4 linked regions of the Schizosaccharomyces pombe genome follow. Changing the gene in region 2 together with the main gene of any one other region gives a genetic interaction. Each region holds a gene or a part of one and is shown on either strand. Other genes may lie near its edges.

Evidence for each region.
Region 1: of lsk1 (region 2) and ste11, changing one suppresses a phenotype caused by changing the other (phenotypic suppression), as found in Schizosaccharomyces pombe (one study listed by BioGRID).
Region 3: mutations in lsk1 (region 2) and imp1 are lethal when combined (synthetic lethality), as found in Schizosaccharomyces pombe (2 studies listed by BioGRID, with this or other methods).
Region 4: mutations in lsk1 (region 2) and rcd1 together harm fitness less than expected from each alone (positive genetic interaction), as found in Schizosaccharomyces pombe (2 studies listed by BioGRID).

The regions. Positions count from the first base shown.
Region 1 is NC_003423.3:3,980,291-3,989,694, forward strand, and holds ste11 (DNA-binding transcription factor Ste11), read left to right. Parts: upstream 1-3,085; 5' UTR 3,086-5,295; coding exon 5,296-6,702; 3' UTR 6,703-7,110; downstream 7,111-9,404. Other genes in the region: serine/threonine protein kinase Ppk25, read right to left, coding at 7,725-8,996. UniProt on the Schizosaccharomyces pombe protein: Key transcription factor for sexual development. Activates the transcription of the matp, matm, mei2, mfm, ste6 and rgs1 genes. Binds specifically to a DNA fragment carrying a 10-base motif 5'-TTCTTTGTTY-3'.
Region 2 is NC_003424.3:3,950,413-3,959,231, reverse strand, and holds lsk1 (P-TEFb-associated cyclin-dependent protein kinase Lsk1), read right to left. Parts: upstream 5,437-8,819; 5' UTR 4,762-5,436; coding exon 3,814-4,761; intron 3,768-3,813; coding exon 3,677-3,767; intron 3,662-3,676; exon of another isoform or gene 3,611-3,661; coding exon 2,932-3,610; exon of another isoform or gene 2,881-2,931; coding exon 2,817-2,880; 3' UTR 2,363-2,816; downstream 1-2,362. Other genes in the region: SPOM_SPAC2F3.16 (ubiquitin-protein ligase E3), read right to left, coding at 626-1,165, 1,228-1,332, 1,388-1,720, 1,790-2,089; splicing-associated factor Saf2, read left to right, coding at 7,717-8,712. UniProt on the Schizosaccharomyces pombe protein: Catalytic subunit of the CTDK-I complex, which hyperphosphorylates the C-terminal heptapeptide repeat domain (CTD) of the largest RNA polymerase II subunit. Involved in RNA polymerase II transcriptional elongation and pre-mRNA 3'-end processing.
Region 3 is NC_003423.3:3,913,029-3,919,014, reverse strand, and holds imp1 (importin alpha family nuclear import signal receptor adaptor Imp1), read right to left. Parts: upstream 2,461-5,986; 5' UTR 2,390-2,460; coding exon 770-2,389; 3' UTR 501-769; downstream 1-500. Other genes in the region: F0-ATPase subunit atp4, read left to right, coding at 1-246; exoribonuclease Rex4, read right to left, coding at 3,463-4,212, 4,287-4,319; srb7 (mediator complex subunit Med21), read left to right, coding at 5,403-5,444, 5,486-5,579, 5,633-5,662, 5,715-5,965. UniProt on the Schizosaccharomyces pombe protein: Functions as a component of the nuclear pore complex (NPC).
Region 4 is NC_003424.3:5,416,866-5,424,368, reverse strand, and holds rcd1 (CCR4-NOT complex subunit Rcd1), read left to right. Parts: upstream 1-5,195; 5' UTR 5,196-5,557; coding exon 5,558-6,409; 3' UTR 6,410-7,003; downstream 7,004-7,503. Other genes in the region: multidomain vesicle coat component Sec16, read right to left, coding at 1-4,372; mtq1 (S-adenosylmethionine-dependent methyltransferase), read left to right, coding at 7,089-7,503. UniProt on the Schizosaccharomyces pombe protein: A differentiation-controlling factor that is essential for the onset of sexual development. Induces ste11 when sexual development is invoked through nitrogen starvation.

The sequences.
Region 1 (9,404 bases), on a different chromosome or scaffold from region 2:
GAGTTTTCCGTGGACAATGCATCTGTGGATTGCATATTCAATATCAGTACCTATCTGTGAATTGCATGCATCTTGAAATGCACTGGATGTCTATCACCAAGAAATACATCGCAGTGTAAGATTGCTTGCCACTGATGGACCACCATATTTTGAGTATTGCATTTGTTTTTCTTTTTTCTTTTTTTTTTTTTTTTTTTTAAAATAATTTGCGCCGTTTTCTCGCTCATTACCAGTTTTATCGAATTGCTCTCCAGCAAATCGGCTATTCATTTAATTGTATTTCATCCATTCGCTCCTCCTTGAATCTCCTCCAACTTCAAACTAACCATCCCCTGAATTCCTCCACTTCAAGGAAATAGCACATTCTAACGTGAACGCAATCCAACAACGACTAATGGTGTAATAATTTGCAACCTAATATATTTTTTTTGTACGTCAATTTAAGACACATTCATCGTCAACAGCGAAATATATAAAATGAAGTTGCAACGCTCAACCGGAAAAGTGCATCCGGCAGCATTAGAGTATGTGGTATAAAGTGTACTATTTTTAAGGTTGTGCGTGGGATTTCAAGGTAGGCTTAGATACTACTGAACTGGAAAAAAAAAATATGTCCCTAAATGTACCAAGGCAACGTTATTTGAGCTTGTTGCCATCATAGTTACAAAATGACCATCACTCTTCTCACCTACAGTTGTGGGCGCCCACTTGAAAAAAATACGTATTACACAGAGTAAGGTAAGACAAAACAAGGAAGTTGTAAAAAGTGCGTTTCGTTCTTAGTTGCATAATAATTCATGAAATTTGTAATTCTTTTTATAGATAGTAGATAGGAATACAACACTAAAAAACAGTACACTTGTCCGGATAAGTTGTCGCGTATATATCATTACATTGTATGGTTGCTGTTGATTTAATTTGGATGGTACGAAGTTTGCCGGCAAGTTGATACTGAGCAGCGCCATTTGAGATTGTATCGTAATCAGATTGGTGGCTGAAGCAACAGTAGAAAAAAGAATGGTTTGATTTCGCAGTTGAAGAGAAAATGTCATTTTGTTGAGAAAAAGCCCCGCTTCAAAAGTGGACTCGGCTCTAGAGCAAAAAGTTAATCGGCAAGTTTATTCGAGTAGAATAGGAAGAAGTAGTAAGATAGAATAGATACTAGAGGAGAATGGATATGACAATAAAATGGGTTGGTAGAAATTTAATAAGTTACGCTTGTAAAACACTATAGCATTTTTAAAGATACATATGGTCAAAGACACATATGATCAGAGATATACATATGATCAAGAGTCACCCATATATAGGATGGTCAATTTTTTCACCAAATTGTTTTTCTCCATTTTTTTCATTTACTGTCTATCCAACATCGATTAGCCGCAATGAGGGATTATACAAGTCAACAATGATAAGCACAGTTGGCTAGCAGAGTCCAGTTCCAAAAGGATGCAATTTTGGTGATATGTAAGAAAACATTCCACAATACAATTTGTGAAGTTTTTAGCTATAAATTTATCGGTTTAGGTTATTTTCAAAGTATAGTCGTTTTCAAAAAATTATATTCGTTTTCAAATTAAATTCGTTATCGTTCAGTAGTAACCTTTTTCATTCAAAACTCGTCTTCATCTATAACTAATCTACATCTTCATCTTCATCTTTACCTCTACTTTCTCCCATCTCTCCTTCCTATCGTCTCCTTCCTCTCTGCATCTTGCCGGCCGCCATTTTCTGACTCGGCGGGTCATCCACCTTTTAAGCTCAACCTTGTTTTGCTGGTCGCTCGCTCAATTCTTACAAAAGCCCAGGTTAATAGTGCGATTGGGTGATATGCAATGGAAATTAGCGCATATCTCAAGTTGTACGCACACATACGCTAATCTGGCGGCAATTCCTATTTTCTATTACATTGCATAAGTCAAAGCTACTTTGCACAAATTCAAGTAGCATTCATTTCCTTCTCTAAAATAATGTCTAGTCTTTGGACTTTTATCGTTTTCAATGGTTTTATTTCTTTTTTCCATTCCATTTATTTTTTTTTTGAAATTTTCACCTTTCTCAATTTATTCGTCGTTCTTTTTTTAATATAATAAGATTATACTTTTACAGCATACATTGTGTCTCACATAGTCTCTTCCATCGCGTTTCCCATTTTATGATCTTGCTAAAAAAATGTCATTCTTATGCAAATCACCCTGTACTACCACAGCACTTACCTTTCCGACATTCTTGTTCTCCATCTTACATGTCTATCACTGTAGCGATAGATTATTTGTGGTGCATGCCATCTCCAGGGATGATGGAAGGGAAACACAAGCACCCACGCCTAATTTTCGGTAAATTGTAGCAAAATTCCAATGGCAATGACTCGATAGAATCATTGTATGTGTGTGGTTTCTTTCCTTCCGCTCGTAGTACCTGTATTTTTCATCATGACTCCAAGTCTTCGCCATTCTTATTTCACTCCCGTTCCGTTCACCCCAAACTACTTCCTCATCACTTGCTTACTACTCAAACTGCCGGCACTTGTTTTCACACATTCGCTATGCTTTTTTATTCTTTTAACATTTGCTTAAACCTTACCTATAATACCCTGCGGTTTCGCAAATTGCCGCTCTTCAAATGCCCGCTTACTCTATTTTGCTTTCTCCACCCCTCCTTAACTCTCCAACTTCCCCAGCGTTCTACAATTCCTCATTCATTGGAAGACTAGTCGTTGGCTTCTTGTCATTTTGCCTTGCGCTATCTCCCTCAACGAAAAGTAGCTTTGCGAGACTTTTTGCCAAGTGCCACACTAATCTTTTGTACAGGGGGGAATCCCTGACTTTGTTTGCTGTGTTACATCGTTTGTAGGCAAGTAAAAGTGACAAATGCTTTCGCATCATATGTTACTTTAACCCCTGTGAATTTTGTCCCTTCCCCTCATACACATTTTGGCTAGACTTAAAAAAGTTGAATTTCTTTGTTTGATTTTCATTGTCAGTAACATCGCGTATTACGCCTCGCTCTATACTCTTACTAGTTGGTTGCCAATGCGTATGTATATATATATATATATACATACATACCTGGTGACTTACATAGTGAGAATCTATTCATTTAGCATATATTAAAAGGATATCCAGCGTTGAATTGTTTCGCGTCGTATATTGGATTTTCTTTATTATCAAATAAACAAAGCATTATTAGCATTCTGACTTTTCAATCTTAAACCTGATTGTGAATGCTAAAAGAAAGTATTTCATTTGATTAGTTTGCATTTTATTTTTCTTTGAGAGCTTTTGCCTCGTTTTTTTGTTTTCTCTTTGTTTTCTTTTTTTTTTTTACTCAACTTAACTTAACTTTTCTGGTCTTTGTCTTGATTGCAGCTTGTCGTCTTTGAATTAGCTTGCCTCCTCCCATTCTTTCCTGTCTATTCGTGTTAAGTCTATTCCTTTATCTTGGTTTGCTTTGGCTTAGCTCTATTCTTTTCTTTGTTTTGACTTTACTTTGACTTATTTTCACTGACTATTTCTAAGTTTAATTTGTTGATTAATTTTTATTCACATCTCTTCTTTTCTTTATAGTAAACAGACTTAAACTTTTTTTTCTTCTTCTATTCTGTTTCTTCATTTTGTTGGTCCAATTGGCTTCGCTTCTCTCTTCAAACTTTTCTCGTTTTTCTTGCCTCTACGTTCTTTTGGGATCCTCCTCTGTTGGAATTGTTAATTGAGAAGTGTTGGAATAATTTTTTCGTTTCTTGAAATCAAAAGGATTTTATCTTTTTTTTTAATTTTTACGTCGATTCCCTTACTGTACGTCGAATCCCCCCCTTTTTTTTATTTTTTTTCTACGTCAAAATTTTTTTATATATTTCTTTGTCTCTACCACCATAGTTATCCTTTATCAACTTTCTCTCTACTAATTAACTAAGTTGTTTCTTTGTTGCAATTTTTGCCCAACTTTAAATTTTTTTTATTCGCATCGTTATTCTATCGCTTGGCTGCTTATCCTTGATATCTGATCTATTAGATTTTCATTCCTCATTTTATTTTAATATCCTTTTTTTAACGTGTTTCTTTTGTGATTCCATTAGTACACACCATTCAGAATTAAGTTGCATTCACCATCGGTCTTTGTTGGCTCATGTTATAACATTATTTCTCCCCTGTCATTGTCGCATTATTCACGTATTCATTGGTATTCCTCACTTTATTTGTATACCCAAAGTTTCACCATCTTACAGAGCTCAACCATTCTTCAGTTATCGGTGTCTCTGAAATTTCTCCCTTGTTACGCCTTTTTATTTGACTCACTTTTCCGTTATTTAGTCTTCCGTTTCGTCTGTTTTTCCTGTTAACTATTCCGCTCTTTCTTGTTTTTAGTTTTTCCTCCGTTTTATATAGAGAAAAAAAAGCCTTAGAGGCTCGTGATTTTGTTCTCGTTTTCAAATCTCCTCAACTTAAAATTAGGCTTATAAGAAAATCACTTTTAAAGCTTCAATTTTTTTCTTGTGGCCTTCTATTATATATCACTTTCACTCCTTCTTCCACTTGGACCTCTACTAATTGTCTCTTTCAAGTTATCCTTGATTCAATCGCCTTTACGAAAAATATCCTTCATCATTCCAACTCGATCTAGTAACTTTTCAGTCTCAACTTTCATCTTTTTTTTTCTACGCTTCTTTACATTTTTCAAATCGGCTTTGAGTGTTGCTTCTGTTTTTTTCTTCTTGAGCTGGAAATTCCATTAGTTTCATTTATTATTTCATTACCTTACTTTTTTCGTTTAGGAAAAACCTGGCATCAAATATACTTTTGTCACTTTTTTCTTTTTTTTAGTCCAGTCAGTCTCTATTCATTAAGCTTGAACTTGATTTCTTTGGCGAACAAGCTTGTTTAATATCTAGATTGACGGAAATTTTATTTTCATTTATTTGTTGATACATACAAGGGAATTTTACTTTTACTATATTCATCTGTTACTTCACTGTGAATAATTTGTTCATTTTTCATTCTTGTTAGTTTGAGATTTCTTTCTATCTTAATACCATTTTTCTTTTTTTAAATAGAAAAAAATCCTTCACACCAGTTTTTATTCGGTGTTTATTTCTTTACTGTTTTCTGATCTCATCCCCTCTCCCTCGGTTTGTGCTGTTCGCTTCTTTTCTACTTCGTTCTTTCTGACTGCGAACTTCATTTATGTTTGCTTTGTTCTTACTGAATCATCTTTCTAATTAATTCTAAGAACCGTTTCATTTGTTTTATTTTCTCCCTTACTTTTACTACAATTTTTATATTTACTCTTCTCTACACAATGTCTGCTTCTTTAACAGCCGAGCAAAAGGACCAAAAAAGTTCTGTTAAGCGACCTTTAAACAGTTTTATGCTTTATCGTCGAGATCGCCAAGCTGAAATTCCTACTTCTAATCACCAAAGTATCTCACGTATCATTGGTCAGCTGTGGAGAAATGAAAGTGCCCAAGTCAAGAAGTATTATTCTGATTTATCCGCCCTCGAAAGGCAGAAACATATGCTGGAAAATCCCGAATACAAGTACACCCCTAAAAAGCGGTCTACTGTTCGTAGACGCCATAAAAAGGTATCACCTTCTTCCGGATCTTTTGTGGCCTCGGATTACGTTGTACTGCAGCAAATTGCACAATCTTCTAAGACTCTAAAACAGACCGAACCCGAAAAGCCTGTTAATGAGGAGGAAACTTTAGCAGCTTTATTAGCTCCCGCTCTTTCATATCCAAAGTCAGGTAAATCGAATCTTATTGAAACCAGTGAATTGTCTTGTCTTTCGTCTTCCCCAATGATTCGAAGTCATACAATTCCTTCCTTATCCTTCACCGATCAAGTTTCTACAACTATTTCTACATTGGATAAATCCGAGCAAGCTCCTAGTTCTTTGGGCATCTATTATAGATCACCCAGTAGCGGTAGTCCAATCGGGCGAACAAAATCTGTGTGTTTAGCTAATAAAGCCCGAATAGTACCGAAAAGATCAATGTCATCTGATGGCTGTGTTGACAAATCTTATCAAATGTCAAAAACACCGAGCTTGGAGGCGAACTTGCCTCAAAATTCAAGCAATTGCTCTGCTCGAAGAGTTCCAAAATTTGATTCTAAAGGAACCGTGAGTGAGCAAAGTAACTCTGATAGTCCAGAGCTGTCAGCCGATAAAGTGTTGTCTCATTGTAGTCCTATTGATGCTCGACCCTCAACTCCCTCTTGCCCCAATGCCAGTATATCACCTAAAACCCCGAATACCGGTGATCATTATGGTTTTGATGGAGCTGAGTACCTAGGAACTCCTCTCAGTGTAGGCAGCACTACTGCGTATTTATACGGCCAAGAGACCGAACTTTTATCTACGCCTTATTGCCATACTTCTTACCCAGCAATGAGTCGATTGAACAGCAGTTCTGGCTATACATGCGTCTCTTCGTCTAGTGTTACCAATTCTGGACATACTGAAAATAATACCTGGAGAAGCGACGAACAAAGTAAAGGCTTTGTTGACATTAATAGTTTTTCTCAAAGTTTGTTCTCAAATGGCAATTATGAGTTCGCCGCTCATTCTCAAGAATTGGATGATTTATTTTCACAAATTACGGATTTTACATCAACTGATCCTATTGCTTCCTCACTCAAAGATGCTAACTCATTGGGACCTTCTCTTTTAGAACCTTGGTTGCCCAATTCTAATTTATTTTGAAAATATTTCTATGCAAACATGGCTTTGTTTTCAACAAACGATCATTTTTAACGCGTCACAAAAGCATGCAGCTGATTTGTTCATGTCATGCTTAAAAATCTATATTTTTTTAATTTTGCATATCTTTGTTATGCTAGATGATGCCTTCCATAATTTATTTCATTTACCTTTTAAACTCTTTAATTATTCCCTTTTTATGTTTATTATAGGAATATGTGTATACTTAGTTTCCAAAGAGCACATTGGGCAACATTGAATAGTTGCCCACTAATTTTCTTTTTTTTTTAATTTTGAACAATGTCTTACGTTATGAATTGATTTCTTACATCTAATTTCCTGTCATCTAATTTGGGCCCGTTATTACATATATATTGTAGTTAAAAAAATATATATTATATCGCAACGTAATTTCTAATTTTTCTCTTCCATTACTTTCGTAAGAATGTTAAGTATATATATGTTCATTATTTTCTTTACGTATCAAGCAATCATCCAATGCAGTATTGTTATCACCATTTCACTAGATATACTATCGATGAAGGTTTACTTGGCACCCACACCTACTGGGGTAATGTAAAGATAACTCAACCAATAAATTGATTAAGAATAAAGGTAATTAAATTACCTGACAAAGAAACTTATAGAATTCATTCGGTTTCAATGGCGAAAGGTATCTATCTATAAATGTTTATAGCATTCGGCATTCAAATATTTCATGAAAAGCGACGGATTTAAAGAAGTAATGCTATCAAAAATCGATCAATTATATTTTAAAATTATAACGCAAGTCGTAAGAATCTTTGTATATGTTGGATTGCAAAACTGTATTATTTAAGAATGAAAACAAAAAGAAAAAGCCTTAACTCGTCTTTACCCACTAACAAAAAAAAAAGAAAAAAGTTAAGTTTAGAAACAATGAAACTCTTTAATTAAAGTAACGAAAAAGAGCCACAGGTTTTAATTAAAATGGAACTTCTTCGAAAACACATAATAAATGCTAACAAAAATTACTCCAGGAGGAATTAAGGTGGACACTGCATAGCAGTAATTTTCTCTGTCAAATCCATCGCACCCAGAATTTCTGAATGATGCCGTTGGTGTCTACTATATACAGGAGGTAAAGCCGTTGGAATTCGAAGTGCTGGAGCGAGACTTTCGACACCCAATAAATACAGACAGACTAATGAAGTTGTTTTTCTCTCAATGTAAGCCATGTAAAGTTCATGTTTTAGTTCGGGAATACTTGCTAAACCATGCTCATGTAACAGCTGTAAAACCTTTAAATTAAAAGGCGGTTTGAAAACATGAGATCGGATTGAAGGCGTTGAGGGAATAGAGGTTAAGGGAATAGGCAGATACAAACAAAACGAATTTTTTTTTAACCAGGGAAATTTTGCTGCTTGTTCTAAAGAACAGCGCTTCCGTGGGTTTACATTCAGCATAGCTGCAATAAGAGAACAACAATCTTCTGAAATGTAAGAAGGAAACTCCAGTTTACCCGACTTTATTTTTGAATGGAGCATAGGAACGGAAACGTCGTCAAATGGGACTCGTCCACAAACCATAACATAAATCACTACTCCCAGGCTCCAAACATCAACCTCTGGGCCTATGTACGGCTTTGCATCAAGTAATTCTGGGGCCGCAAAATAAAGACTCCCACAGTATGTACGTAATAAATCGTCTTTACTATAAAAATTACTGAGGCCAAAGTCAATTAGCTTCACCTGACGAGAATCCTGAGTTAAAAGAACATTCTCAATTTTTAAGTCTCTGTGTACAATAAAATTCTTGTGAAGATAAACCAATGCATTAATCAACTGCATAGCAAAACTCCTAGCCAAATCTTCATCGAGTTTGCCACGAGCAAGGATGTACTCCAAAAGTTGTCCTCCAGGAACGTATTCGAACAGTATGTAAGTACATGCAGGCGTCCGGATACAGTCTATTACCCGGCATATGTTGGGATGTCTCAATAAACGACCTAAAAGTGCCTCCCTTTGAACACGAACTGTCTGACTTGTATTATTAGGAGTAAAGGGAATCATTTTGAGAGCTGCTTTCTCTCCTGTTAAAATATTTACAACGAGTTTAACCTTTCCCATACTGCCAGCACCAATTGTTTTCTTGATAATCCAGTTTCCAACTTGTCGACCAGGACCAGCTGTGCCAACGAAATCAGATATAGACCTTTGATGTTTTGTAGACTGATTTATTTTTATATTCTGAGAGCGTTTAGGAATAGAGAAAGTATCCCAGCACTCATTCCTTAGGTTAGTTGTGTTCGGTTTCATCTTCTCAGCTGTAAAAGGAATTTATGAACAAAATTGTGCTTAAATAATTCAATTACAAATGAAGTTAAGAAAGGAAGAAGTAGTGTCTTAGATAAAATTATCATAAAAAGAAAACTCACTTCACATAAAAAGATATATTGTTCTTAGTAACAACAATACTATTAAAGTGTTTTTATCACTGTAACGCTTAACTTATGTAAAAGCAGACATTTAATTTTCAAGTGAGAATCCACTCACATGGAGTTTGCTAAAGGTTGAGACACTCCTCTCAAGGTTCTTCCCTTGGCAAAATTATTTGGTTTGGTCAGTATGGTACACGGGACGCGTCGCGACGTTAATTAATTTGTTTCGTTAGTGTGCGTTATACAAAATGTAAACAAATAATAAAACTCGTCAGAAAACTTACCC
Region 2 (8,819 bases):
AAACCTGCTCTTAAGAGACAACTGCAAGTGTGGTAAAAAAATTTTGTAGTTGGATGCTGCTAAAGAATCACAACGACAGATAGAAAAGTAACAAGAATAGTTGCAGTAACTTGACGAATGATCGCATCTTCTAGACAAAAAGTCAGTTTAAAAGGAATCTGAAGGATTAGATGAATATGGAATGACAATAAACTCTTTATTTAATGAATGCCAGCCGTAAAAAAAATCAAGACAAATAACATATAAGTCATAATAACAGGAAATTGAAATATTGAGAGAGGCCCAGAATTGCATGAAGCAAAGTCCTTATGTTTGCGAATGTTTCAAGACACCATAGCTTCACACAAAAGTAGATGAGTTTAGATTAATTAAAACAGAAATTCTCTTCATCGAGGAAATTTAAGCGATTTACTTCATACCATCGCTTGACTTGTTGAGAAAAAAAACCATATAAGAAGTAGATGCAAAAGGACGAGAAAAGGGAATAAATATAATCAGACAATTGGGGTAAACGTTAAAAATTCGTAATTCTTGCAAAGAATTGAATGAAAATAGCAACTTTTCCAAAATAATAGTACATATAGGATAATCGTAACAGTTTAGGAAGTTCATAAAGTTAGAAAATCTATATAAAACTGTGAATCCCGAAAATATTAAAGTCTTCATCGCTGTTGTCCCAAGAATGTCCCATTAGCCGTCGCATACCGGCATCCTCAGCGGTTGCCAGTCGAGGGATAGACACCTGTGGGTGATCCAAAGGTTTGTAAATTGATGAAATACAAGTATTGTAAGAATGACATGAATTACATTTATGACCCAAGAAATGGTATTTCGTATCACAACGTGAGTTACAGTCATTGCAACGGATGGTAGAAATCCAAGTGTTATAGGGATAAGGCATGGGTTGTCGTTCAATTTCCATATCTAAAATTCGAAACAATGAATTGACATTAATGATCGTTTTGTAACAAGTAGGACAACGATAATTGGTTCTTATATATTCTTCATGACATCGCTGGTGCAACGGATGAGAGCAACTTAAAAAGATTACGCGTTCGCGAGAGTTAAACATGTATTCACCACAAATTGGGCAATTACAATCCGTACTTCTTTCGATGCAACGATGAGTATTGAAAACCGAAATAGGTAAACAAAGGCCACAAGTCTACAGCTGTTAGAATATGAGTTTAAAAAGCAAAGCATGTGCTAAAAGTACACGAAAGTTACCTTGCAGTGGAAATAATCATCGCCAAGACCGCGTCCTATTCGACAAATACCACAATCATCACAATGATAGCTACTTTTATTCGGATCGTCATCCCAAAGTTTGCACTGTTAAGTCATGTATTAGTGATATTGAACAAGTATCAAATAAAATATCACATACCTTATTGCAGTAATATCGGCCCATACAGTTCTTACAGTATTTGCAATATTGAGCTGCTGGTTGAACCTTGGAACATATCATGCAAAGCATGTTTTCTACGGCAGGTCGTTCTAAAACATGATCACAAGCATCGTTGTGACAGTGACGGCACGTATACCACTCGTGACAATCGAAACACTGAACCTTGCAATTGCGCATGTAATGAGAACACCCTAAAATTTCTTGCTCTTTGTCATAATAAGTCTTTTCAAGATCAGATGAGCTCAATTGGTTCTCATCAGATTCTTTCTTGTGAGTTCGTCGATATTTTAAATAACCAGACATCAGCATTTTCTACAAAGCCAGTTTAGTAATCTTATTTTCATTTAAATCTCACTTTTATGATTAATTTCATGTACTTACCTGCATAAGTAAGGCCTTTCTCTTCTCACTCAATTGCGACATCGATTGTATTTCGTGGATTTTTTCACGTACGGAATCTTGCTGCGTTAAATCCACTCCTTTCAATATTTCTTCATCTTCTTCATCTTCTTTTTGCTTTTGAACTTCAAGGAATTTCTTATTACAAGAGTCATCAGTCCCAACATCCTCTTCAGTAATATCTTTCAACAGGTCAGGAGGTAGTTCGAATATTGAGGTTAATTCTTGTGCAGCTTCCTCAAAAATCTCAGCGAATTCACGAAGATACTCCGACAATGACATCGACTTTTTTTGTGTTTGTTTTTTTTGTTATAATGATGGTTCTTGATCAAAAGGAGAAGGGGAATGCTTACCTATTCCTCGATCAGTTCAGTGTTGACTTATAGTGTGGTCCAGTGCAATGCGGAATGTGATATCCGTGCCATCACACTATTGTAAAAGCCGTAGATATACTTTGATCAATTTTAAGCTACGCATTCAAATAGTAACTTAATTTTTGCTCTCTTAATTGTTAAATCATCATTACTAAATATTTGAGCAGGCTCTTGAGAACATCTGCACCTTAACATTATTAAAAAGTATATGTAAACAAATTATTATTACTACGGTTGACTGATTAAAAGAAAACCACATCATAAATTCATACGAGTCCTTTGAATTTATCTTTTTTGTACACAGTACCAAGCTCATTTCAAGACTTCAAGCCTTTGATTTCTAAGTTCTTAAAAGGTGAAAGAGTTATAATAGTCAAATAAACCAGTGGAACATTTAATTATCATGAGCTATTAGTGTTCTTATTTCATCTTTTTCGGAAGAAAAAGAGAGCAAAAAATGAAAAAAAGTTGTCCAGCATCAGACAAATTTGTTACTCTGCCTAGTGTTAACAAAATATATAGAAGATAGACCGCAGTAAAGCGAGACAAAGAAATTAAATGAAATATAAAGATTATTTTTTTTAAACATTTGTCCAGCTTGCATAGCTTCGCCTTGACAAAATTTTCTGGCTCATTTATCTTTTAGATTTTCGTTTTTTACTTTCCCATTCATGCCAACTTCCTTGCATGTTTTTCAAACTAAACACATAAGTTAGATAAATATCATTCAACGATAAATTTTATACTTACATGACTGCTGGCTCTGGAGGTGGGCTCTCAGAAGTGAAATACTCATGCATCAAGGTCTCATGAGCTGACGGTCTACAAAAGGGATTTAGGGCAAGGAGTTTTTGGCATAGGTCAATGGCGGCAGGACTTAAAATCTCCTTAAAAGTTTCAACAAAACGCGACTTCTTTTCCTCTACTGGCTTCAGAAGCTCATACCAAGGAAGATTTTTCACCTCAGGCCAAGAATGAACATCAGGGGTACCCATCATATCATAGATAACCTCTAACTGACTGATTTCGTCTCGCCCTTGAAAAAAAGGTTTTCCTGTAAACAACTCCATAACAATACAGCCAGCACTCCATATGTCCACGGCTGTGTCATATGCAGTTTCTCCAAGTAATAGCTCTGGAGGTCGAAACCAAAGGGTAATAACGCGATTAGTGTAGTTAGCCGACTTCGAAGATGTATTAAATCTCGCCAGACCAAAATCTGCGAATTTTAGATCACCATTGTTATTCAGTAATATATTAGAACCTTTAATGTCACGATGAAGCACCCCACGATGATGAAGATAAGCTAATGCTTCAAAAATTTGCTTCGAAAGGTGTTTTATGTTACCGGGAGTAAAATGTAATTGTGAATTTAGTAAGACTCCAGTTAAATCGTGATCCATGTACTCAAATACCATATATACAGAACCTAGAATTTTAAAATGTTAGAACTAGTTATAATTAAACGGTGAATGAGGACAGTATTTAATCGTACTTTTTTCCACCATAATTTCTAATAGCCGAACAATATTTTTGTGACGCAAACGCTGCAAGATTTTGACTTCACGGACAGTAGTTATAGGGAACTAGAAAGTTAGTCAATTTAGTTACGAGCTTGATTTTTATACTTACACCATCCTTTTCCTGCTCCAGCCTTATCCGTTTTAAAGCTACCAAATCTCCTGTGACTGTGTTAATGGCTTTGTATACTTTACCATAAGTTCCTTCTCCAATTTGGTCGATTTTCTCATAGGCAGGCTTTGGATATGTATATGTATAAATTGGGCCGGAAGGAGGAGAAGGAAGAGGAGCTGGAACAGACTCACGGGCCGTGGACGTGAGTGCCATACGTTTCGAAGGAGGTTGATCGAATCGAGATCGGCGTTCATTAGGTATATGAAAGTGAAATTTTCCATGTTTGTTCTCTGGAAAGCCAGAAGACACGCTAGATTTTTTTTGTGTATCGGAGGAAGTAGTTTCATGAGGGATAGAAGGAATAGGGGGAGGAGAAGATGAAGGTCTCCGCGATACCTTTCGACCGTTAAAAGCTGAAGGCTTCATATGTACAGAACTAGGCGGAGACCTTCGAAAAGAAGAAGCTTGCCTTTTTGAATCATTTCTGTTTGCGGACGGTGATATAGGTGAGACGGAGGCGCTAGAAGAGCTTTCAGAGCGTTTGGCAAAGTAATCCTTGGTAGTTAAATTACGTGCTCGTTTTTGACTACCTGAGCGGTAAAAGGAAGGTGATGGAGGTGAGCCAGGTCTAGGACTGAATGCCTTTTTACCCTTTCTCCTTCTAGATTTTCGAGAACGAAAAGGTCTTTCATGCTGTCTTGCTCGGGAAGAATGTGTATCGTTGAGAGGAAATGTTCTTTTCCGCTGTTCTCGAGGATCCTTCGCAGATGAGGATGGCGATATACTAGATGAATTATTTTTGAAAGCATTAGAGGACAGGGTGTGGCCTCCTAAAGACTCCTCATTTGTACCAGAAAGCTGAGACTTTTCTTCGACGGTACGCCGAAAGTGGCTATTTGGTTCTGTGCCTTGTCGGCGATAAATTGTACTCTTCGAGTATGACATTTAACAGGGTTAAAAAAAATAAAAAATAAAAAAAGGAATATTCCTAAACAATGAAGAGAATTACACGCAATCTGTGAGCGAAAATTCGATGGGAATAAAAGAAAAGAAATTAATCGTTAAAGTACGGCCAAATGTGTTTTTATGTAACAATAAATACAACTTCACCGGAAAAAAATCGTACAAGGGAAATAAAAGGTAAGCTGCCAAGACAAGCTAGTTAAATCCAGTGAAATAAATCATGCAATCTAATAAATGAAGAAAGGACAATTTTCAGAGTGGAGATTTTTTTCACCGCTAAACTATGAAGGGTGAACGTGAGACAAACCTTTTCAATCAATAGAGAAATCTAACCAGAGATTTGTGAATAAGTCGGTTGCAGAAATGTTATTGAAACGTAAATGTACAAAATATGAGTATCCACAAAATTAGGAAATACTTTTAAGTATCAACTCTTGCAGCTTAAAAAAATATACCGTAATTTTCTTTTAGTTGCACTCCTGATTTCTTTGATCTATCAATTCAAAATGTACATTGTTAAAAACACCAATTATCTCGAAATTTAATAAAGACAGAAATAAATTAGTTCTTCCTCTTCTATGACAATGAATGAAGTAGTTTGCAAGTCCACTAGTTTAATCAAGGGGCGATAGGTAAACTTCGTTGTTGGTGTGTAGTAGAAATAGAAATAAACGCGCGCGACTCAATTCCTTTACCACACCATACTTAAAATAATAAGTAATTTGAGGCTATGATGAATATCAGCTTGTTTTATAGAAATCAAAGTAAATAATGTATTTATTCAATGCTTAACTCTTAGCCATTTTCTCTTCCCCATTTGCTAAGATGGTCTTTTAACTATTAACTAAGTCCAACCAGTTATTCTCAATTCATATAATATTATTGGATTAAACCTTTTCATCTGAATTATATTAAGTTCATATTTAACATTTTAAAAAGCGATGAAGATAAATCTGGTAATCCGCATGGATCCTTGGAAATTGCCATTGGCGATAGTAAACCAAAGGAATCAAATGTCGACTAGATAAAGGCAAGTCTGAGCTTTTCTATTAGTTTTGAATCGTTTAAAATAATATTATTTATGAGAAATTAATATTCTACCATAAATTAGTGTTTTCCGTGAGTCTAAAGAATACAAAGTAAAATAATCAATAATATGCAACCCTTACATGTAAGGTAGGAGGGAATATATTATTTTACTGTATATAGAAGTTTTACATCCTTTCATAAGTATAACGTTATCACATTGGACGTTCTAGTAGAACGCCAGTCTTCAAAACATTAAAAATTCATATTCAGCCTCTCAAAATCTATTGTGTGCAAATTGTTTGCAAAGCTAAATTAATCAATAATATTTTTTTAAAAATTAAACAAAAATGCTTGGTTTTAGAAAGAACAAGGTTAGGTCAAGAGCTTCAAGATGAATAACTCATGGAATTCTGTTCCTGTTGTTTATTCAATTTTAAGAGTGATGATTTTGACATAAATTTGGTGCAATATTGTTTAAATAATAGTCTCATTAGTTAAACTAAATGTTTAAAAAAAAAAAAAATCATTGCAAAAAGCTAAATGAGCATAATTGATTTTTTATAAGTTTTTTTTTTCAAAAATGCAAACAAATAAATTAAATTTGTTTAATGAAATTAAAAAATAAAAAGGTAGATGATCGTACAAACGGCTACTACCAGTACGATATAATTTTTTATAAAAATTCCAAAACGTAAGCATAATTAATATGAAATAATAAAATATCATAGAAATTCAAGTGTACAAGGATCCTACGACCAAATGTTTGCTTTCATATGTATATATTCAATTCTAAATATTTATATAGCTTACTCAATTTGTGCAATTTTAACAAAGAAACGTGATTTTATTACAATAAATAGGTCATTAAAAAAATAAAAATTTGCACTTATATTCAATTGACTGACATACAAAACGTATTATCAGAGTTAGACTTAAATAAAATTTTCCTTATTCAACGGACATCCTATACTGGTTTCTGTGGATTTATGATATATTTGCATATGGTAAATTCAGCGAGAGAGTCCCTTGCACTCAATTATATTCACCAATAATACTTAATGAATCTTAATCGAAAAGACATGGACGTTGTGCTTTCAAATGCGAAAACCATATCTTCTTATTCAACATTTAATATGGGGTAAAAGTAGAGTACTTCTAATATCTTAAAGCAAAGCAAAAAAAATAAGCTCTTTTATTATGTTATATTTTCGTTAATAAAAATCGCTTCTTCAAACATTTATTCATCACAGGTGCGATATAAGAATCTGAGTTTGTACTCTATAGCAGCTCTTTTAGCTTTCAGTATTTAATTTATTCAAATGCTATATGCATAATTCCTTCATAGTTTGGCTATGTCTTATCGTTTCGTTTAGTATATTTACAATTCCATTTTATATGTGTTAAAGTAATTATCGAAGAAAGAAGACTATGTAGGGAGAAAGTTTATAAACTGTTAATAAATCGAATTGGTGTCAACTATTATTTAGTCTAACATCGGTAATCCACAGCAATAGCTTCAACGATATCCTTAGGCTTGAAAAAACAAAACTTTTATATAGGAGTTAAATTCACCAAATTATATTTAATTTTTTGGCCATCAATGAACAGGCCAAGTGCATTTTAATTAATGTTATATTGAATCGCACTGTGGAGCCTTAATCCATTTAAAGTAGATATAGTTAGAACTCGTGGTATTTCGCAAAGATACGTTATTCAGAAATATTAATTTTTGTTGTTAACTTGCGCCAGAGCAGCAACATATAGTGTTGCTTGTAATTACTTTAATTCAGCCATTTAGATTACATTCCAGTACTTATTTTTTGTGCTGTAAATCCCATTTATTTGTTATGTGCAATTGAATGTCCCCGGTATTTTGTATAATAATTATTTCTTCATACTGATAAAAAAATGTCGTCTTCTAAAGATTGCAAAGCTACTAGCAATGTCGATCAAACAATTCCTGCATCAAACGTGAACAGTGGTGACTTTATTTCATCGAATACGAGCAGTTCTAATAGCGAAAACTCCAATATTCAAGGAAAACATTATACCCAAGTTGGAGAGGATGCCGATAATTCATTTATTTCTGAAAATACTCCTAAAAACACTTTTGAATCAACTCAAACATATGAAAATCTGGAGAGTATTTCTAAAAATGAACCAACCTCTGAAGCATCAAAGCCCTTGTTAAATGAGTTAGTTCCTGAGGAACCATTGCCAAGGGAGCCGCCTTTACCAAATGAACCAGTTCCTGAGGAACCATTACCAGGGGAACCACCTTTACCAGATGAACCAGTTCCTGAGGAACCATTACCAGGGGAGCCACCTTTACCAAATGAACCAGTTCCTGAAACAAATTGCCATAAAGAATCTCCTTTATCTGACGAAACAGTTTCCGAAACATCAAAAAATGATACTTCTAACTCCCCTACAAATGAAAACCAAGCACAGCCTTCCATTGCTTGGTCCGAGGGTCATCGGATAGCCGCTATTTGGGACCCTTCTCAACAGGCTTACTATTTTTGGGACACTTTAACAAATACGACGAGCTGGAATAATCCGTTAGAAGATGAAGAGCAGACTAGTCCCCTAGATTACACAGCGAAAGTTCAGTTCAATCGCCTATCTGGAAAGTTTATGCCAAAATGGGCTTCACCAGAGTTGCGAAGTGAAGAAAACAAAGCACATAAGCATATGGAACAGTACTTTGACATCAATTCTTCATTGAATAGTCACAATGGCCAAAGTTTACTGGCAGAACGGAGAAACAAGCGATATACCAGGAAAGAGATGGAGCAAATGAAACGAAGAACAAAAGAGAAAAAAGAAATGAAACGAAGAGCGTTATATGACATCGCTTCAGATGAAAAGGACTTCCGCCGTCGCAAAATTATCCGTTATTAATGTTTTTATTCCATTGTTTCTTTCTTGTTTGCATGTTTTATTATTACTTTAAAACTTTAAAAAAAGTCTAAACAATTTACTATAATTTATGTAATGATATTTTTTTT
Region 3 (5,986 bases), on a different chromosome or scaffold from region 2:
AAAGAAACTGCCCGTATGGAGGCTGAGATCTTTGAGCTCGAACAGCGAGTTGCTTTAGCTAAAGAAGCTAAATCAGTGTTGGATAGCTGGGTTCATCACGAAGCCAACGTTCGCGCTGAACAACAGGAACGTCTCGTTGAAGATGTCTTGGCTCGTGTCAACAGCAAAGTTTCTACCCAAAAGTTCCAACAGGATGCTCTCAATGAAAGTCTCGGTGAAATCGAAAAGGTCTTAGCTAGTGCCTAAATTGTTTTTTCGAGGGACATAATACGATAAGACAGCTGCAGTTTTTTTCAGTCATATTTGATTTGCATATATGCTTATTAGCAAAAATTTGCGTCATTATTGGTTTTCAAATTGCATTCACCGATTAGTCGAAGTCATTTGAACCTAACAGTGTATATCGTCCCCGCTGCTTTCTTTTATTTTTATTTTCTTTGATCCTAAACCCCCTTCTCTATTTTGCCTAGTTGCAGCTCTTACGAATATAAACATTTTTAGTGATATCATGCTATTTACCTGTACCGCTCTGTTTTAGTAGTACACTCATTTTTTTCGTAAACATATTATTTAACCGTAGTTTTTAATCCTAATAGAAATACTTAGCTTCACAAATAGCTAAATTGAATTAAAAATAGAGGGTAAAAAAAAGAAATACAAACCCAACAAAAGCACCAGTAATGGAAAACAGAATTTGTCTAAGTGAAACATGTAAATAATGTGCGCTTCGATTAGAACAAAAAAAATTTTTTTAAAATTAATTTAAACGTTACATAGCCATATCTTGAGAATCAAATTTAAATTCTCCTTGAGCTTGAGGGCCATTGCCAAATGTGAAGGCGCCATTTTCGGTTTCAGGTGCCAAATCTTCAACTGCGTCCTCGTCACTGAAATACTTTTCAATGATGCTATACGCTTTCAAATAAATATCGTTATTTCCGGAGGATTGCAAATCATGGATCATATCCATACCGCCAGCTTCCTCAACGTAGACAGCGTATTGATTAATGTTTTCAAGATCCATAGTTCTGTCCATCTCACCAACTTTAAGTATGTTTTCAATGGCATCGAGAGCAACTTGAATAATTTTATTATCGGATCCGTTCAACATATCGCAAAGTGGCTTAATAACGCCTTGTGACACAAGGTAACGAATTTGGTCAGGCTGACCGAGACCGCCAGAAGTAGCATTAGAAATAGCCCAACAGGCTTCTTTTTTTGTTTTGTAGTCGGCATATGAGAGTAAATGGACCAATGGAGGTATAAGATTACTTTCAATAATTGCTTGGATTTGTTGGGTATTGCCAGCAGTAATATTGCTAATAGTCCAACAAGCTTCCTTACGAATGTTCTCTTTTTGATGACTGAGAAGACTAGGGAATGCATTGAGAGCACCGCAATCGATTATGATCTGTGTTTGCGCGTCAGTACCTGTTACTATATTCCCCACAGAGCGAAGGGCAGGAGTTTGAATATTAACGCTGGGAGAGCTCAAAAGTTCAACAAGCCTGGGCGCACATCCAACGTCTAAAATGGCGCCAATTTTTTCGTTAGGTCCATCAGAAAGATAGGAGATGGCCCAGCACGCGTCAACAATAATCTCAACGTCTTCAGAATAAAGGAGCTTAGCAAGGATTGGAACGGCTACAGAAATAGTTGACCAGTTAGGTGGTGGATTTTTGCCTCTACACAAGTTAGAAAGTGTCCATGTAGCGTTACGGAGCATAGAAACATCAGAAGCGCTACTCTGAAGAATATTAAGTAAAGGCTGTAAAACTCCGTTACCGAGTACATAGTCACGGCAGGCAGAAGAATCGCCAGCTATGTTACCGAGGGCCCATACAACCTGCTCACGGACATCTTTTTCAGGTGAAGAAAGTAATTGAATAAAACGAGGAACAGCGCCGGAATCAACAACAATACGGGTTTGATCTGTGGTACCACTAGCGATATTTGTTAAGGCCCAAGCCGCTTCAAATTGAAGCAAGTGATGTTCACTTTCTAAAAATTGTACGAACCGGTCAACAACACCACAAGCAATTACCTGATCAATAGGGGGATGCGTCTCCTTAGAAAGATATTTCCTGAATTTCGTGACGGCACCTAATTGTAGCTCAATGTCGTCTGACATCACATCAGCTGTCAATTTAGGAAATTCATCTTTCATTTGTTGCTCCATTTGAACCTGAGACTGATCAGCCTCCTCTTCCACATCAATGTCATTTTGTAAAACAGCGTTTAAATTCCTTCGTTTATTCAAACTTTCCTCACGTTTTTGTTTGCGGATTTCAATTTGCTGTTCTTCACGTTGCCGACGAAGTTCATCAGCTTTGAAAACACCTTTGCTTTTAAAACGGCTTCTTCTATCTGATAAATATCTCGATTCCATTTCTATAGGAATAAACTTTTTTGATATCCTTTTTACTCTTTTTTTTTTAGTTATCTAAGACAGTTGTGGTTGCTGCGAGTTTAATGAGAATAAGGAGGTAAAAGAGCACTTGTGTCGTTCCAAGAAGCAGCCGGCACCCAGGTAACAATGTTCAAAAATAATAAATTTAGAATAATTTGAAATATATCATTTTCCGGTTCAAATCGTTGAAACTTTCTAGATCATTTTTGTTCTGTCATTGGAAACCTTCGCACCATAAAACGGGTAAAACAACATGCTTATTGAGCTCATCAACCAATTTTTCTTGGGTTTTTAACAAGCTGAATGCTATAACAAGAATTCAAAATTTAAAAACAAATGGAATTTTTCTTTAAACAACCTGTCAAGTTGGCCTATTTTTATTTTTATTTTGATTATATAATACATATAGTTGAGCAATTTAATCTTTGAATAAATACTTATTTTTCAAACACTTCCGTATCTGTTTTGTAAGCTATTAATATGTATACATTAATGGTCCATTGTCTAACTAGAATTTATTTGGTAGCTATTATTAATATATATATTTTTTATTTTTTTTGTGATAATAAAGATTAATTCGGTATTTATATAAATTTAGGAATTAACTTAACGGCGCTTGAAAACATATTATCGTCATTCAGTTAAAATGCTCTAAATCATATACACTATAGGAAGTAATCTAATTATATAACATTAACTTTATTAATTCACAAAGTAATTATGAAGACCATATAAACGAAGCTGATAAATCTCTATATCCTTGTTTTTTCCATACATTATTTCTTTCCTTCAGTTGTATGCATCATTTATTTATACTAAAAATTATTAATAGATTGACTATTTAAAACCAGAAACGAAGGAAACAGAAGAGATAAATAAAGAAAGAAAACCAACGATTTCATAAGAGCCAATGAAAACAATATTGCTGTTATAAGCAACCGAAAATATATTTAACATCTGACACATATCCAGTAAAATTATAAGAAACATTTTCTTGCATATTATTAAACCCAAATCCCAAATGACCAGAACGAAGTCTAGTGATTCAAAGCTTATGACTTTGACAAACCTTTGAATGCAACTTCATCCATTTCTTTTTTTACTTTCTTATATAATTCCATCGTTGCTTGGGCATCCTGGACGGAAGAATGCTGTCCAGATTGAATGTCACGCCCAAGAATCACTTCAGCAAGTTTTTTAAGCCCTGGTGTCCTTCCCTTGGCTAATTTCCGATACCCAGAAAATCTGCTGGTATCACGAATCATTCTTCTTGGATGCGATAAAAGTAGTACTTTGAGATCGTTATGGACAGCATGTCCAACCAATACTCGATTGTCGAGTATCTTAGCAACTTCTGCTTGTACTTTTTCAAATGAAGGTGCATCCCGCATGTGAAATGACTTGACACCACTGACCCATGTTCTCCAATCCGTAACCTTTTCTTTAGGACGGACATAAGTATCATACACGACATGACCATGATAATTAACTATACTGACGCGTGCAAGAACTGACATGTCATCTGCCACCCCAACCATTTCACAATCCATTGCAATATATTTCCCCAATGTTTCCAAATTGGTTTTTCTGGTAAGCTTGGAAGCATCCACGCCATATGCGTCAAGGACTTGAGATTCAGGGATATCATTTTCCTTAGCAAATTTCTTTAATTCATTCATGCGTTTTTTATCGACGATATAAGAATTCTCATTCTCATTGTTTTTACCTTTCACACTTTTAAGGTATTTCTTTTCATTAGAATGCTTTTTTTCAACCCGTCCACTCTTAGCGCTGTCGAGTTTCTAAACAACCAATACCGTTAGTATACTTAAACAAGAATCTTAAATGACTTAATGGAAACTATAGCCTTTCATACCTTCTTTAACTTTTCCCAATTGGAAGAAGACATTGCTTGTGCATAAGAGCCAAAGTTGGTGCAAGAAGCAATTTGCAACCTCTTTCAATATGATTCTCAACGCGGTATCACAAATATTTTATCACATTTTAGCACATTTCATTATTTTGAATAAAGCGTTGATGATAGTACGTTACGTTAAGTATCATTATATAAGTCACATGCCTTGTATTTATTTATCTATAGTATATATACATATATTGACAGTGATGCACCATTTGTTGCTTCTTGATGTAACTACTGCCAAATATACGAGACTATGAAATAAATTAACCTCCGTTCTTCGGGTCACCAATGAGCTATTTCAGTGTGTACCCACTTCGTAAGAATATTATAAGGTACCGGTGGTTAATGCATTTCCTAATAAAAGAATATTGTGAATATTCAAGACCCGTAGTAGCATATTCGTTAAACATTTAGTGATTTATGTTTGCTTAAAAGGATAGATTGTATTGAATTTGTAGCATTGTCCGCTATCTTTTTAAAAGCAGAGTACTGCAATTTTAATAACAATGCACCTTCACGTAATATGAAAACACTCAGAATGAATGGATTATCAAAAAGGTACTGAAAGGGGTGGGACTCGAACCCACGAGCTTTCGCACTAGTGCCTTAAACTAGCTCCATAACCACTCGGACACCCTTCCACGATCAAAAATATAATAAATATGTCGAATGTATTACTATTATCATTGTTTTTCTATGTTAATTAAAAATACTTAGCTGATTCTGTAGTTTCTGTAGTTTATTTTTTTTCGCTTTCCATTAATTTTTTTTTAAATTTTATGTACTGTTTTATGTTAAATTTCTTTTGCTTATGTCAAGCGTGATTCTAGCTTAATTCTTTTTCCCGATTGCTAGACAGTCGGTTTTTAGGTCGATACATTACAATTACAAACAATGTCATAAAATCAAAAGCTGTGCATAATAAATATCCGATGCTGAAATAACAGAAAAGTTAATTAGCGATTTATTGTTCTTGACATTTGCGCTTCAACAATTGTTACCTGCATCATGGACCTTCAACAACTTGCGACTTTCAACTCTTTTTAACTCATATTACACCTACATAAAAAAATGGCATGTAGGTGTACTCAGCTTCAAGATACAATTGATGAGGTAATGGGACTAGTTTTCTTTTTCTATTCTAACCTATGTAGGTTGCCACACAATTTTACTCTTCCATTCATTATTTAAGTTCTCATCATGATTTCGTTCCTTTACCTGGTCAAGAAAAGGTTTCTGATTCTAAAGGTATACAAGATTCATTATGATGCTATTCAAAGTAGCTACTAACAAATTATTAGTGAACCCAATTTCTGCTGAAGAGTTACAATGTACGATATTAGACGTCCTCTAGTCATTTTATGTGCTAACTTCTTTTTGTAGTCGCTCAAAGGGATCTAGCAAAAGACTTGGTTACAAAATTTATGCAAATAGACACTTTGATCAACCAACTTCCAGGTATTTCCACTGCACCAAAACATCAATTAGAGAAAATTAAAAAGTTACAAAACTCCATTGAAGAAAAACAATTGGAGAGGAAGAGTTTAGAATCAGAAAATGAAGATTTAAAATTACAATTGGCCAAGAGGATTGAAACATTTGGCCGGTTATCATGTGTCCTATTTCAGCCCTGATGATAATATGTAAGCAAAATA
Region 4 (7,503 bases), 1.5 Mb from region 2:
AATAGACGTTGAATACCAACTCCAATACTTCGGTCAATTGTGTAACGTCAAATAAATCATCATGCGAAGGATATAAGTTATGTTTACTTAAACCAACAAGTTCAAAAAGAGAATTCGATTTGTTCGAGCAAACATCCGGTGATAAACTTAAGATGTAAACCAGATGTGCCGCATAAACACGGTTTTCCTGGAGTAGTAATGTCCCTAAAACCCTCAATGCTTCTTTTTGGTCAGAGTAATGATTTGCAATAATATTGTACAGCAACTCCTTCCAGGCTACCAAAGCATTACTTGCCTGCGATTGATCCGCCAAATTCAATAGTGACGTAGAAGACGAAAACTCTGACATTGAAGACGCATGGGCATCAGACATTAATTGCAAAGATAATTGTAAATTTACTCCAACACCAGATCTAAGCATAGATTCTTTGACCTCTGATTTACAAAACGTTCGTACTACTCCCTGAAATGTTTTTGCATCTATAGAATGCGCAACAATAATCGCATATGGCCATTGCTTCTGCTGCAAAGCATAAGTAAGCGCTTCATCTTTGTTGCCAGACAATAAATATTCATAAAATCGGTGAAGGAAAGAAGTTGTGCAATAACGAGATGCGACAATTGGAGAATCATCCTGATTAATTTCAGGATTAATAAGCTCTTGAACTGAAGTAGCTGTATTGCAAGGTTCAGGAATTTCAAAGGAAGGTAATAAGATAGGACGAAGCTTTTCAACTATTAGCTTACGATCACTCACTTCCAGTAGCATCTTCAAACACTGTAGTAAAAGTAACTTGTCCTTAAGCGTAATGTTTTTATCGTCGTATTCTAGCGATTGGTTTAGACGGTCAATATATTTGGAAAGCCATTCAATAGCTTCGGCTTTTCCATGTTTATCTACCTTTCCATTAGAGGCAAGGTATGGTCCTTTAAACTCCTTTAGATGACGATACTCATCCGTTAGCACATCACCCAATTTTTCTATTTTAATGGGTCCTGCAATGAATTTGGTACCTTTGCCACTAGTTGTGTATAAACCACTGGGAGTGGAAAACGCCATAACGATTGTACCACAAGGTCCAAACGAAAATGCAGGTCTTTGCGTACTTAAAAATTTAAGTCGAGAGTCTTCATTACTATCAACAACTGGCGAGACAGGCGAATGCAAATTAGAATGCAAAAGTGGCTGATTTGGTAATGGTAAGAAATCAGGGCGGGGAGAATTATTTCGTGATAATTCAGCGCTACGTTTATGCAACGAGCTTTTATCAGAATCAAGAGTAGCCGAAGGGAGCGCAACCCCTTCAGTCATTGTATCTATGCTTACGTTTGGATTAAAATTCGGTGGAATAGATGGTGCATATTGCTTCGCCGTAGTTTCAGCAGTGTCAAATCCATGTTGATGTGAAGGTGTGCCAGTTTTGTGTAATTGGGGTGGAAGGGGTGAAATCGGAAGTCTATTGTTCAGTCCTTCTGAATGAGAACTTACGGGAGCATTAGCATGGTAAGCAGAGTTATGAGGGGGTAATACAGGTTCCATATCTGATTGTAATATGTCATGGATACCCTCATTATCTCTGTCGTTATTATCCATATTACCGTATAAAGTTGCTTGTGCGTGAGAAGGGGTATATATGGTTGCATCCTTTTGTGCTGCTAAAGGTGTAAATCCTGGACTTCTGATAATGTTCGCTTCTTCTCCGCTTGTCGGTAACGAAGAACTACCAGGCTGGGTAACCTCAGAGTAATTTATAGCTTGCGGCTGATAAGGATATTTTGTTTCCCTCTGGTTGGAATTTTTGATATTATATGCATTGGGAGTCGTCATTGGTTTGTACAGGTTTGCGGTTCTCTGCAAATTACCCGGAGACATCGCAGAATTCATAGTATGCTCAAGCGAAGACATCGGTCTTGGTGCTATTTCCAAAGGAACATAACTACTGGCAGATGAACCCATCGAAATAATGCTTTCTCGTCGAGACAGTACAGGCTGTACACGAGGAGAAAGAGGTGATAGAATACCGGGTTCACGAATAATAGCATTTCTTGTGTTGGCAGCAGGTGCATAAGACGATGTCGATACGAATTCCTTGGTAGGGTTGCTAACTTTATTACCAAGCTCGCCAGAAGTCGGCGTGTATGGAGCATTAACTTGTAAAGAAGGTCCCGGAGAAATAACGTTAATATGAGATTTTGTCATTTCATATGCCATATGTCGAGAATTGTACGTATTAGTCTTTGGGCTGTACAAGTTAGGAGTGTGTCCAACGGTGGTGGTTGCCGGTCTCCTGATCGGTTCAGCACTAGACGCTGGATAGGAATTGAAAGAGTTAGCGCGCATGGTAGGTGTCGCCAAAGGAGTACCATGCTGGTAAGCAAACGAAATTGGATTAGGGGTTTGACTCATTGGGGCATTCACCTGACCACTAGGAGGAGGTAAAGAACGAGGGGGATTGGATGGAGTAGCAGGACGAGGTTGAAAAGAGTACTGCCGGTTGTAATTTTGTGATACAGACCTTTTTTGCTGTGCTACTTGTACTATTTCTTCGGGCAAATCATAAGGAGAAGAATATTTCGCCTTTGATGCAACGAATGCTCCAGATTGAGGAGCTCTACGCGCTGTACCAGCATTTTCATTTTTATGAACATCCGAAGAAACAATTGGAGCATTGGCTGGCGGAGATGCTGATGATTTTGGGAGATACTTATTTGTTTGAACAGTACTGCTTTCCAAAAAGTTGCTCATAAGCGAAGTAAATTCTGAATCATCTATCAACTCCTCATCATTGATAGTGTTTTCGGATACTTTCGTAGCATTTTCTGCTTGCAAAGCATTATTAGTGAGTTGGGAAAAGAGAAGAGAATCTTGATTATCGGTTACAGTTATTGATTCAGATGGATCGATTGATGGCTTACTCTGGGTTTCTGATGGCTGCGAACCAGTATTCGAATTCAAGCCCAAAGCCGCCGAAAATAAATTTTCTTCTTCTGGGTCATTAGGAAACAAATCTTCAGTTGGACTTAATGGTGATGAAGAAATATCCGGATTTTCCAACTTGCTAGTATCTTTGTTATTCTCCTTTTCAAAAGAAGAAGGAGGTTGGGCAACATTTGGGATCTCATTGGTGTGTAGATCGGTTGAATCTTCGGAAGTTTTCTGGGTCGTTGGCTGCACAGCACTGTTATTCTGGACCACAAAACTGGGAGCCTCAACTTCCAAAGGCTCTCCAAAATCAACCTCAGTCTCCGGCAAATTTGGTTTGGGATCATTTAGGTTTTCAGAAGACACCAACGTATTTTCCTTACTAAGCTCAGGGGTATCGGTAACGGGTTTGCTTGCGACGAAATCCAAAGTTTGATGTTGCCCGGAGGAATTTTGGTTATGTACAAAAAAAGTGGATTCGTTATTTTCCGATTCAAGCTGAGATGAAGCCCTATCAACTGTAGTCGACGATTCTATATTGGCTTTGATATTGTCGTTCGAAACAGGCTTATCTTCAAGTTTGTCAACAGCATCTAAAGATGAAATTTGCATTTCTTTTGGCGTCGTATTCAATACTACAGAATCGTTGTTAAACTCTTTTTCATTCCCAGCTTCAGAAGTTAGATTTACGGTTTCAAAAGTCCCTTCCATTCCGTGAATGGAAGGAACCTCGTGGACTTCATGGTCTTCATTTTCATGCTCAAAAGTTGTAATTAAATCAGATGTCTGATCTTCCATATCAAGAGTGTCATTATATTGAGAGTTCGTAATGTATGCATTCTCAACTGAAGTACTAGTTTCTATCTTTTCGACTTCTGGAGATGGTGGTTTAGGAATTGTCTCATCATTATCATATATTTCTTTTTGCGACGATGAATAGTTTTCGTCACCCTTAAGAGTCGTTTCTAAGTCTTCCTTGCTCAAGTCTTCTTCAGAGAGTTTATCGTCTTCATCCACAACAGGCTCATCCATTATGTCAGAAATAATGGTTCCAGCAGTAATTTTTACCAAGTTATCATTTGAAGACTCCTCTTCTGTGTGAGCCGATTTGTCGCCAATGGTATTTTGAGGATTAATTTCCTGCACATTGTCCAAAGAATTACTCTCTATTAAGTTGCTTTCTTCTTTAACACCTTCTTTAGGCTCAGAGGAAGGCAACTGAATGTCAATTTCTGAAACTGACTGTTGAGAGGAGCTATTGGCTATGTTGTTTTCAACAAAGGAATCCATAGGTTCAATTGTGCTTTGTTCTTTTCTAGAGGTAGAAAAAATGGTGTTTTCATCTGTCACATCAATATCGTCAGCTTCAAAAGACTTGCGTATAGAATCATGCCGTCCTTCAAGATCAACAGAAGACTCCTTAGGCTCGTGGTCTGATTCAATATCCATTCCTTGATACGTTAGTGCCCAATATTATATTACTAAGACGAAAAATTTAGCTTATTTTTTAAACGAAAAATAGGCAGCAAAGTATACCAATAAATGGAGGATAAAACAATGCTCAAAGTTGTAGGAAAAAAATTGGCCCCTAGCTTTCCATGAGAAATGGTCAACCAAAATTTCACAAACAGTAATCGAAAATAATAATAGGTAGGTTCAAATAAAAAACAATCAACCACAAGGATATAGAAAATGGTAGGAAGTTTGTTGATGGCGCCAGTCAGTATCGAGAGATTAAAGTCAGAAGCAGAATAGCATACATCCTTATACTACGCTATATTAATTGTTCGTGAATGTTGTTCATAATTCTTCGTAAGGGTAAATATAGTAAACAAAAAAGCTATTCAAACATTAACGCAATTATTGAAGAAGAAACGGCTCAAGTTATTATATGTTTGAATACTAAATTACTCTTGATGAAAGTGTAAATGATGTGCAATTAGCAAACATCAACGGTTACGCATTCGGTATGAATATGTATTTACAAATCTTTAGAAAAGTAGTATTTACAAAAGCGTTAGAAATAACTTTTAAAAAAGGCTTTCAAAGATATAACATAGGTAAATTCCTTTTCTTATATCTCTGTTATTTTATAGCTTCTATTAGAAGCGAGCTAAGAATGGTTAAATACCTTTTCTAAATGCGTTTTGCCCACTTTTCTTTAAAAATATTTGATTCTCCTTATTACTCAGTAATGTATCTTGCATTTTTCTAACGCGCAGTGCGGTAGGTTTGCTATTCCCTGCCAACACTGTGCTTGTCCATTGCTCTCACGCGAAATCTACGGAACAGCATTTGCAGTTCAGGTTTATAAGATTGTTGTATTTTAAATTATTTAAGTCCAGTATTGCTGTGCAAGTTGATACTGTTTGGCACGCATAGCACGAGGACTGAAATTCCATTAAAATTTTAAAAGCTTTATCATTTTCTCGACACTCAGCACTTTACTGACTGTCGTTTAACGTTAATACCTTTTCTTTACCTTTTAGTGCATTATTCTATCCTTTGGATTGAACTACAAATTCGTTAGGTGTTGCTCTTTAGTTCCGGCAGCTATAAAATTATTATTCTTTATTTTATTCTTTTCGACAATAAACTATAGCATTTTTATTTCTTTCCCGCATTCTAGAAAAAATGGAAAACTTGGAATCCCCTAATTATGAACCAGCACTTGTCTATGAATGGATAATTCAACTTGTTTCTGGGACATCTCGCGAACAAGCTCTTGTCGAACTATCTCGTAAACGAGAACAGTATGAAGATTTGGCTCTTATTTTATGGCATTCATATGGTGTGATGACGGCTTTGTTGCAAGAAATTATCAGCGTTTATCCTCTTTTAAATCCACCCACACTTACAGGACCAACTAGTAACAGAGTGTGCAACGCGCTAGCTTTACTCCAGTGTATCGCTTCTCATCCTGAAACTAGAATCCACTTTTTAAATGCACACATTACTTTATTTCTATACCCGTTTTTGAATACCCTTTCAAAATCCAAACCTTTTGAATACCTGCGCCTTACTAGTTTAGGGGTGATTGGTGCATTAGTTAAAAATGACTCTCCAGAAGTAATCAACTTTTTATTATCTACAGAAATTATTCCTCTTTGTCTCAGAATCATGGAGAACGGTTCTGAATTATCAAAAACCGTTGCGATTTTCATCGTACAAAAATTTTTATGTGACGACGTTGGTCTTCAATATATTTGTCAAACATATGAACGCTTTTATGCAGTTGCGTCGGTTTTGAACAACATGGTAATGCAGCTTGTAGACTCTTTTGCTTTTCGTTTACTAAAGCATGTTATTCGTTGCTATCTTCGTCTTAGTGACAATCCTCGCGCCAGAGAAGCTCTAAGACACTGTCTACCAGAACCTTTACGTGATGCTACCTTTGCTCAGGTTTTAAAGGATGATCACAACACTAAAAAATGTCTTGCCCAATTGTTAATCAACTTATCAGACGTCGCCGTTGTTAATCAGTAATCGTTATTTTTTTTTTTTTTAAAAAACTTTTCTTAAATGTTGAATTAATTATTTCAATATCTGCCCTTCGTTTCCTATCTGGTTTACTTTCAATCATAATTTGTGACCGTAAGTGATTGGCATATGGCGATTTTTTGTGTTATTCGTCCGTCACCAATTTTTTCTTGTGTCTTTCTTATATCTTCCTTTATTATTATTTTTGCCCTGTCATTTTTCACTCCTCTTAATGTGCTCAAGTTATTCCTCAGGACAGAACTTACTCTGATGGCTTTTTTAAGGAAATCAGGGGTTTACTGTTAATTTTGCTTACAATTGTTAGATTCAGGATTTCATATCCTTTTCTCTTAATCTTTCCTTAAAATGCGTCACGAATGATGATTTTTACGAGTCAGCAAAATTTAAAAAAAAAAATAGAAAAAGATATAACATTCGCCGACGCATTTAATGTTTTTAACCAAAACACCTTTTTTCCTATTTCGTATCATATATACTTATACTATTTCTACAATATTCAATTCAGTTTCATCGATTACCTCTAATAAATTTAAAGAATTCGTACAATAGACAACAGAATTTGATTTATATTTACGTTCGTTAATTCTGCTATACTTCATTCAAGCAAATAATCAGATAAAAGTAATTTGAGATAATTTGTCCTCCTAATTATAGTGTTTGTCATATGCGACTACCAAGAATTACTAAATTTGCTTTATATCGAGAAAACCCTTGCCTACTCCCTCTTTATCATGCCACAAGAGATCCATCTTTGGCTAAAAGAGAGTGGACGTGGATATGCAAGGAATTAAAGCTGCTGTATCCAGAAATTAGCAAACATGGGTTGCGAAAAAAGATAGTAAATGCCTGTCAACTTCGAGCAAGAAACTATCCACTTCAGTATATACTGAAAAGTCAACCTTTTGGTAATATCAAGATAGATTGTCAACAAGGAGTTTTAATACCTCGTTGGGAAACAGAAGAATGGGTTGAACGTGTGGTTGATAAGCTAAATCGACTCGAGAGATTAAAACCGTTAAAGATTCTCGATTTATGTACAGGGTCTGGCTGCATATCAAGCTTTGTGTTGGCAAACCTAA